Linked DNA regions of Ovis aries. The protein of the gene in region 1 interacts with the protein of each later gene in a biochemical or structural test. Links are inferred from orthologs where the notes say so. Each region holds a gene or a part of one and is shown on either strand. Other genes may lie near its edges.

Region 1 (5,393 bases):
ACAAATACTAGCATTCTAAAAAAGGAGCCTACAGGAAGTGGTTCAAGTCATAAAAACTCACAGAACTGAAATGAATTAAAATGAAGTGGCACTTGTACATACAAGCAGATAATGATAAAAGTAGATCATATTGCATCAAGCCAGGCCTATATAGTCATAAAATTCAAGTGTGCCAGTCATTATACTAAAATTAGATCTATACTCCCTCTCCTGCTCTGGAAAACTAAGTAAAAGCCAAAAACACTGGGCATCTGGAGACCCGAATTTTGGTTCAAACTAAGCTAACTGTGTGACCTTACCCTCTATCAGAGCTGTCTGTAAAATGAGGAAAACCTCTGAGGCTACCAGTCTCCTCAAGTCCCTCCACCATCACTTCTCTCCCCACATCACTTCAAGTCAAGTCACCAGAGTTCTCCCCAATTACTATGGAAGGCAAGCTCTCTGTGTAATTCTTCCCACCACTCATAATCCATCCTCCACATTAACAGCCAGTATACTTTTTAATAGGAATCAGATCCCACCACTCCTATCTGTGCCTCTCCAGGGCCTACAAGGCCAGGCCCTACCCATTTCAACTCCTCCCAAATCACCATCCTCACCAGGAGCACTCTAGCCACTCCGACCTTTGGGTTCCTCCAACATTCCTAGCCCATTCCTCCCCAGGGCCTTTGCCATACTCCCATCTTCTCTTTATTCTAAATTCTATTCAAATGCAACCTCCTCAGAGAACTGAGAGTGAGCTCTGGTCTCAGTCTGCCCAGACTGAACTTAATAGCTGGACATGTTGCTTACTCATGCTATGCCTCTGCTTCATCTGTAAAGTGGTGATACCTACAGTGTCTGCCTCACAGGATGACCACCAGGGATAGATACATGAAAATAGAGCCGCAAATTGACTGGCACAGTTTTCAAATGTTATCTATCACTGTACTTAATGCACCCCATCTTCACTTTCTATCTTCACGGCATTATCCGGAATCGTCTTTGTCATTGGTTCTGAAGCCCCGGAAGAGACACAGCTTCATAAACTTTGCTTTTCTTGCTCAAAGCTCTACCAATGTATTCTAGGAATGGCATACAAATACTTGTTGAATATATGAATAAAGCAATATTAAGGATTCCTTTAATACTGCCATGATTCAAAGAATTAAGTGAAAAATGACACTGCCTCAATCAAACAGATCTACATATACATAGATCCATCTACACAGCCTCACACAAACAGCCATCCCCAAAACTAAGGGCATGCTTTTTTCCAACTCCTTTTAACTTTTCTGAACAAAATGGGCTGTGTAGGAAGAAATGCTTAAATTTGAAAGTCGTGACCAAAACTCAAGAGCCAAAACACTACAGTTCTTATGGGCTACTTATGGGCTAAATTTCCATCATTTACCAAAGGAGACCTCAAATATAAGATTGATAGCGTTAATTTTTAAAGTTCCTAAATCTACCAAATATCCACTGCGATTTAAAATATTAAGAATTCAATTTTTAGCCATCAATTTAAGCCCTTAATAAATATGTTTCCCTCATTCTAGTAGTAGGCTTGTTTGAGTGCAGGGTGCTTGTTTTTAAGAAAGGCTTTATTATATAGGTATCCACATTTTGTGACATCCTGAACTTACGTTCAAGTAAATATCATGATACATCACATTAGTAATGACTTACGCAGCTTTCATAGACGCCACCAATGGTTATGAAATTCGCTAGGCAGACACCAAAGTGAATGAGAAGGGGAAAAGTCTAAGACGCTGCAGGCTAGTGCCCCAAAGAAAACAAACCAACGAGAACTGCTTCGTGATTTTATTTAAAGATGATCACGGACTATCCCCATAATACCAAATAAACCATAGAGTATTTCTTGCTCAAATGGAAGAGCGAAGCCACAAATCTAGGAGGAGGAGTAAAGATTCTGAACGGTAGTAGATTCTTCAAAATTAGAGGGAGGAAAGGGAAAGGAGACGCGGCGGCGCTCTGCGGTGTCGGAGCAGCTCTCCAGGAAAGGCTTCCCGGGCGCCGGCCGCTCCCACTCCGGTCCGCGGCCAAGCTGGAGGTGGCTGGCGGCTGGCACGTTTGAAATATCACCACCCTATTCATCTCCTCCCGGCACAATGAGGGGCTGGGCAGCCGCGCCGGGGACCGCCTGCGCACACGCCCACCCGCCCCGCGCAGCCCAAGACCCGGGCGCAGCCGCGGCTCAGCGAAGTCACGCTCGGCCCGGGCAGAAAGTTTCGGGGGAAAAAAAAAAAATCCAAGCGCCGAAACGCACAGGTCTCGGAGCTGAATTCGCGCCAGGAACACGCCCGAGGCAAACCACTTGACAACCAGCTCGGGTTTTCAGCAAAAAGGCCGAGAGGCGGGGGCCGAGGAAGAGGAGGCAACATGCATATACATACGTACGCACACACACACACACACACACACACAACACACACACACACACGGCTCCTCTTCCTCTAGCGCCCCGGCGCCCAGGTGGGAGCGATGCCGCAGCCTCACGCCCGGACGCGGCACCGGACGCCAGCGCCCCTTCCTGGAAGGCTCGCGACCCCCGGGGCCAGCTAGGAGAGCAAAGGGGAGGGTGCGCACGCCCCACGCCTCCTCGCCCGTCCGCCCCTGACGGCCGCGGCGGCAGGAGGCCGGAGAGGCCTGGGGTCCGGGGATGCTCAGCCGGGCGGCCGCGGGCTCGCGGGCGCCCCTCCCCCGCCCTCCCGCCCCTCCCCCCGGGCCGCCCGCGGGGCGCGCAGGAGGCGAGCGCCGGCGTCCCGGGGGATCAGCCCGCCCGCCCGCCGGCTCCAGGAATCCGGGCAACTTTCCCCTGCTCGGCCGCGGGCGCCCCCCGACAGGGCGGGGACGGGCGTCTGGGGACCAGCCCTATGTGGACTCACTTTTTCGGATGTTTCTCCCTTTTCGGCCTCCGCTTTCGGGCCTGAATGGCCAGCACTGAGGAAAGAAGACACACATTAACGGTCGGGCAGGCCGGCCTGCGGGGCCACGTGGCGCAGAGGAGGGGACGCTGTGGGCCACTCACCTTTCCGGGAGCTCATCCCGACGCGGCGCCGGAGGGGCGGGGGGCTTCGCGGCGGCGGCGGCGGCGGCGGCGGCGGCGGCGGCGGCAGCGACGCGGGAGCCGAGCCGAGCTGCAGCCTCCACTCGCTCCGCCGGCCGGGAGGAGGCGGGAACCGCGCCTGCGCCGCCGCCGCCGCCGCCGCCGCTCCCGCGGGGGGCCCAGAGAAACCCGCCCCCGGCCGGCCCCGCCCCCGCCCCCGCCCCCGCCCCCGCCCGCCCAGTGGGGTCGAGACCCCCGCGCCGGTGCCGCCCGCGCGCCCCGCACCCACGCGACTGGCCCACCTGCGCGGAAGTGACCCCACACACACGGCCACCGCCACTCCCTCCCACGCCTCCGCCGCCCGGGCCTCCGCCTCCTGCGCCCCCGCGGCTGGCCCAGGCCTCCTGCCTTTCCCCGGCACCCGGCCCGCGCGACCCTCCCCCTGCAACCACAGCCTCTCCCCTACCCACCCCGGCCGGTCGCGCCACACGTCTCTCCATGCGCTCTTCCCTGGCCCGCGCCTCCGCGGGTCTCACACCACCTTTCCTCACGCGGCCTCTTCTCCCCCTTTGCTCCTCTACATCCTTGCATCCCCATGAGCGCCACTTCCTCCTCTCCGGCGGGTGTGGAAAGGGCACAGGACCAAGAGCTGAGAAACCTGGGTCTTTCACTAGCTGTGTGACCTTGGAAAAGTCATTTTGTCTCTCATCTTTACCTACCCCGCAGGATTGCTTGAGTGTAAAGAAAAAGATGCAAACAGTAGGATTAAGTAGGATTACGCTTTTGCACAGGAATTAAAAGTCCAGTTCAATAAATGCCAAGTGTATAACAATTATAACCAAGCCACCGAGGAGTTATTCCTTACTAAGAGGAAATTGACTCCTGAAGAGGTTAAAAAGTTTACCCAACAATGATTCAAATTTAGGCCTAGGTGACTCTAATCAACTTGATTGGGGGAAAAAATGTTTTTGAAAGATACTTATCCTGATCATTTACTCTGTCAACTGTATTCTTAGCTCATCAGGGGAGCTAGTTGTATTTTAAAGATCCTTAAACCAACCTGAATAGCGCTGCTTGAACTTAAAGAGCTTTTTACAATACTTTCTTGATTTTTTATTTTAAAAAATATCAAAAGTACCGAAAAGTTGAGAAAAATATCGTGAACATCCGTATTAACCCATATTCACCAATTTTGAACATTTCCCCACATTTGCTTTCCCTGTGTGTGTGGAGGGGGTGTGTTGTTTATGATAAATCATTTCAGTTTTTTGTAGACTTTGTTACTCTTGAGTATCTACTAAGAACAAATACTCTCCGACGTAATCATAATTCCATGATCACTGCAAGAAAATTTAGTTATCATTATGAGTAACATACAGAGGCCATATTCAAATCTCCAAAATGTCCTTCTTAGTGGACCTTTTTCTCAATCTGGAATACAATCAAAGATCATGCATTACATTTATTTGCCATGCCTTTTTAAGCTCCTGTAGTCTAGAATAATCCCTAGTTTTGTTTTTTGCTTTAATAACATTCACCTTTTCTAAGAATTCCACTGTTTCCAGAACGTTGTTCAGTTTGTATTCATCTGCTCCCTATTAGATTCAAGTTAAATAATTTTTTGTCATCGACACTAAATAGATGATATTAAGTTCATTTTGGGGAGCGTGGTGGGCTGCCGTCTATGGGGTAGCACAGAGTCGGACACCACTGGAGTGACTTAGCAGCAGCAGCCCTAGCAGCAGTATCCTGCATCAAGAGAGATACAATGTCTGTACTATTATTGGTGATGTTACATTGTAATCATTACTCCATGGTAAAGATACATTTTGTTTCCTTTGTATTTAAAAAGTAGTCTGTGTGAAAAATGGGCAAGAGACTTAGACATTTCTCCAAAGATAAACAAATGGCTGACAGGTATGTGAAAAGATGATACATCAACATGAAATGATGTACAGCATCACTCAGTTCAGTTCAGTTCAGTTCAGTCGCTCAGTCGTGTCCGACTCTTTGCAACCCCATGAACCGCAGCACACCAGGCCTCCCTGTCCATCACCAATTCCTGGAGTTCACTCAGACTCATGTCCATCGAGTCAGTGATGCCATCTAGCCATCTCATCCTCTGTCATCCCCTTCTCCTCCTGCCCCCAATCCCTCCCAGCATCAGAATAGACAGATGTAAAGCAAAATCAAAATGAGATAGCACTTCACATCTACAAGCATGACTATAATTTTTTTGTAATGAAAAACAAGTGTTAGTGAGGATAAAGAGATATTGGAATACTCATACATTAGTGGTGGGAATGTAAAATGGTGCAATCACTGTGGAAAATTGTTTCCCAAT
Region 2 (4,689 bases), on another chromosome or scaffold:
ATATATATAAACTGATTCTATAAAATCAACAACAACAAAAAATCACCCTTATCTAGTCTAACTCTAATGATTTGCAGGAAGTTATTTTTCCATTGGGCTTCCTGGTGGCTCAGATGGTAAAGAATCTGCCTGCAATGCAGAAGACCTGGGTTAGATCCCTGGATCAGGAAGATCCCCTGGAGAAGGGAATGGCAACCCATTCCAGTCAGTATTCTTGACTGGAGAATTACATGGACAGAGGAGCCTGGATGGCTACAGTCCATGGGGCTGCAAACAGTCAAATACAACTGAGCAACACACACTTTTTTTCATTATGTTCTGACAGAAAAGAGGGGGCTTTTATTTAAAAACGTGTTTGTTATTCATTACTACAAAACAGAACATTACCACAAAATAGAAAAATAAATGGTTCTCACTAGACAGCCTCTAATTGGAAGAGAAAACATCTTAAACATACCTGTCGTAATAATCCCGTTGAAAGTCATAGTCCAAGTCAAAAGATGAGCTGAAAAACAAATACCAGAGAGGATTAATTTGGACCTGTTGACGACAGCAGATGGAAAAAAAAAAAAACCCACCCTAAACCAACCCAACAAACAGATCAACAGATTAGCATGGACTAATGCCCAATCATTAAGCAACAGATCACTAAATTCCAACCACTTTAGGCCACTGGACATAGTGGCCGAACTACAAATTTAGCTAAGATTGCTAAAATGCCAACACATAAGAGCTAAAATAAAAATATGGAAAAACACAATAGTAAATTAAACATTCTTATGTCATCCTCTTTCCCTTTCTTACTCCCTCCCCAGCTTCTCAGAAGCTAAGTAACTCCTTTTGAAGGAATTTAATTTATACTAGTAGGGCTTCCCTGGTGGCTCAGATGGTAAGCAATCTGCCGGCAATGCAGGAGACCCGGGTTTGATCCCTGGGTCAGGAAGATTCCCTGGAGAAGGCAATGGCAACAACACTCCAGTATTCTTGTCTGGGAAATCCCATGGACAGAGGAGCCCGACAGGCTCTACGCCCATGGCATAGCGAGAGAGTCAGAGACGACTGAGCAACTAACACTTTAAATACCAAACTACTCTTTAATAGTAAAAAATCTCAGGAATTCCAACAACTCTCTGGGAAATGGGGTAAAATGAAGTATATTAACACAAAATTAATAAAGCAGTCCTTTCACATACATAAAACATACTACAGTTAACCCTCCCCACATCCAGAAAACAGATAGAGAAGATGCCCACTGATGGACACAATGCAGTTATAAATAATAAAGTTCCGGACCTGAGTAGAGGGGACGGAGAAGGGTGTTCTGGTACTGACCCGTACATCTCCGCTGCAGATCGTTTCACACCTGCTTTTCCTCGGTTCACTTTTGGCTCTGCAGCCAGATTAATATCTGGGGGTGGAAAAAAAACTTTAATGACAACTCTGTTGGGAGGGAGGTGTCTCAAACTGCATCTTTCTAGAGTGTACATGGCCATATAATTAAACAAAAGTCAAATGATGTATCTCATCTTTCCTTGTTATATAAAATCGGCTCAAGATTTTTTTTACAAGGTTAGGACTTAATCCTCCGTTTCTTTGTCCTCTGTTCTCTACCAACAAAACAGAAAGGCAAAACATACGAAGTCTGTCTTTAGTACCTTTTACCCTCGACTTGAATACCTCAATGAGAAACTGGGGATTTTTATTCTCCTTACAAATAGGATAAACTGAAAAGCTGCATAAAAAAATAAACACTGTATAGTGAACTGCTTATAAGTAAACAATCTTCATATGCATACACACACTCCAAGAAAAGGGAAAGAATTAAAAGAAAACAAATCTAGTTTCCATATACAACATAATTTTTAAAACACCTATGCCAAAGTGCCCAGTTGCTCACCATGCCACCCACTACCTATCAAAGAATTCATGTTCCTTTTAACAGACGAGTCGATTTCTCAAAAAACAATTAAATAAAAGCTAGCCAGCTCTCCAAAACTCAGTTCATCAAGTGACCACTGGAAAAAGACTTTTAAGTACATTGTCTTATCTGCTAAACACCATTACATTTATGAATAATCTTCAGAGTATGAATAATCTTCAGAGTCTGTAGTTCACTAAAAACTCATTTCTAATTTTTAGTAATTAATGTTTATAACAACCCTGCTTTTACAATTTTGACTTTGGAATCATTAAGATTTTATAAAACTAAAGGTAGACTTTTTAAAAGCAGTTTAAAAAATGTAGTAACAAGATTAACTACACTATGTATCCAACTGATTTTACAACCTCATAGAATTATTTCATGATAGTGGAAAATCTGCATTAAATTTACAGTTGCCCCTCCATTATCTGTGGTTTTGCACTAGGATTCTACCAATGCTCTTACAGTAATGTAATACATACGTAGATGTGAAGTCATGCAATTCAAACATGTGTTATTCCATCAAGAGAATAAGTCAATATCCAAAATTGAATAATTTTAATAAAAACAGAGTTATGATTGCTTGAGGCTGTGGTACAATGCACACATAAAAATCTGACATTTTGTTTTCTTAAAAACCTAAGTGTCCCCTATTCTGCCCACTGAAACTAACAAGATGCAATTAAAATTCAATAAACACTCCTGGTATACAGGGAGTGGGTTTCCAAATAATTCCCATCAAAAGGAGCCAACACTCTTATAAGATACACAGATGACCCAGAATATCCTGTGGTGCAGTAAGCAAGGGAAATGCATTATCACAAGAGAAAGGTCTCAAGGACACAGGAACCAACTTAAAGGTGGTCTATCCACTGGCCAAAGATGAGATATCTCAAGTTTCAAACAACAGTTTTCACAGGACTGAAACACATATAATGAGATCTCAAGTTTAAAATATAATTTATCTGAATAGAGCTCAGATCTCATTTCTCAAAAATTTAAACATGCTAGATCAGAGGCGAACCCTACTGGGGAACTAATATAAGACAACCTTTTATTATGAATCACCTCAAGTTATCTAAATAACTAACCCTCTCAAGTTATCTAAATTCTCTTGACAACCACATAGTAGTATTACCTTCAGTAAGAATAGATAATAAACCAAGGTAGCATGTGCACACACACACACAATTATTTTAACGAAGAAAAGCCATGTAGGCTGCCCAACACGTAAGGCCCTAACATACATCTGACTCTAGAGCACATGACTAAGCCCTGTTGTCTTTACCCAGTCGACTGTGTTCAAAACGACACAGACATTTTAGGCAGCAAAAGTACCTTATGAAATATTGTTCCTCTCTCTCCTACTTTACTCAAGACTGCCAACTAAGGGTTATCCAGTCTCTACTACACCAAATGGTAAAATTTTACAGGCCTAAAATTCTCTTTAGACCTATAAACCTTATTTTTATTTTTTATTAGGCTGATGTCAAGACATAACACGCAGAACACCTCTCTGAATAACAGCTTTATGGAGAGGGAGAGGGAGAGAAAGAAAACATGAACAGAAGAACTCCCAGATGTGAATTACATAATCAATGAAAAATTAATTCAACCCAGATCTTACCTAAAACCTGGCCAGCAATCATTCTGCCATCCTCTCCTGCCACAGCAGCCCGGGCATTTCTCTCATTAACATACTGAACAAAGGCAAAGCCCTTATGAACAGAGCAACCCACGATTTTGCCGTATTTTGAGAAGATTGCCTCCACGTCAGATTTCTTGACCACAAGGGTATTGAGATTCCCAATGAATACACGAGAGTTCATGGAGCGAGGATCCGTCTTGTTGGTAACATTGCTGGCCATTGTCTTTGATGATACGGTGCTTCACAAAGCTGAAAAACTGAGAGGGGAAAAAAATGCATTCAGGTGAAAAAATGCTAAGAACAAAATAGTCCTTGATAAAAAACCTGTTCTACTCTTATTTTGAACCATTCTACCTACAGTTATCAGTCAACTTAAACAAAATGGATCTCACAGCATCAAGTTTATTAGTATTCAGAGACTTGAGCCCATGAATATATATCCTCATAGAAATTCAACCTCCTCTTCTGTAATATACTCCTGCTAGACTATCACTTCAAGAGGGGAAAATTCCTCTTCACATAATACACACAATCCTCTTGGAAATTATTAATCCCAAGTGACTTCACTGTTTAAAACTCCTCAAGCAAATCAGAACCCCTTAATCTCTCTACCATAAATTTGTTTTTTCACTGTCCCAGTTATGCTAATCGAACCATCCCTTGCCATCTATCAATAACTCCACCTTTTTGCATGTTGCTTTTATTGAGTCTCACTCGTTACCACATAAAGAACTCCAGTTTCTGCCCAAAAACTATTTTTTAGCTGGATGAATGTGGACAAGTGACACTCTGCCCTTCAAGTTTAATTAACTTTGTTATATGAAGGCAATAAATAGAACCAACTCATTCACTCTGGAAATAATCTATTTCCAGGTTTATTTCCAGATTTATAGCATCCAATAGATACTTACATATCAATACCATTTTTACAGAATGTTAATGATTCTTTATGTGAAAACAGTACAAAATATAGCTAGGACATTTAATAATGCTGGATGGTGATGATGATAAAACTAGAAGGTATAACACTGCCTTAATCAAAAAAGAACCAGAAGCAGTAAGGAAGAAAACACAACTTTGCTCAGACCATTTCAAAACAAAAATTATCTTTATATATGTT

The links.
Region 2: of the proteins of SRPK2 (region 1) and HNRNPC, one has a biochemical effect on the other in vitro, tested with the Homo sapiens proteins (2 studies listed by BioGRID and IntAct). The link is inferred for Ovis aries from reciprocal best matches to the Homo sapiens genes SRPK2 and HNRNPC.

The regions. Positions count from the first base shown.
Region 1 is NC_056057.1:48,041,382-48,046,774, forward strand, and holds the start of SRPK2 (SRSF protein kinase 2), read right to left. Parts: upstream 3,668-5,393; 5' UTR 3,647-3,667; coding exon 3,520-3,646; intron 3,191-3,519; exon of another isoform or gene 3,048-3,190; coding exon of another isoform or gene 3,032-3,047; intron 2,944-3,031; coding exon 2,889-2,943; intron 1-2,888. UniProt on the Homo sapiens protein: Serine/arginine-rich protein-specific kinase which specifically phosphorylates its substrates at serine residues located in regions rich in arginine/serine dipeptides, known as RS domains and is involved in the phosphorylation of SR splicing factors and the regulation of splicing.
Region 2 is NC_056060.1:24,245,190-24,249,878, reverse strand, and holds part of HNRNPC (heterogeneous nuclear ribonucleoproteins C1/C2), read right to left. Parts: intron 3,827-4,689; 5' UTR 3,790-3,826; coding exon 3,549-3,789; intron 1,409-3,548; coding exon 1,294-1,408; intron 506-1,293; coding exon 458-505; intron 1-457. UniProt on the Homo sapiens protein: Binds pre-mRNA and nucleates the assembly of 40S hnRNP particles. Interacts with poly-U tracts in the 3'-UTR or 5'-UTR of mRNA and modulates the stability and the level of translation of bound mRNA molecules. Single HNRNPC tetramers bind 230-240 nucleotides.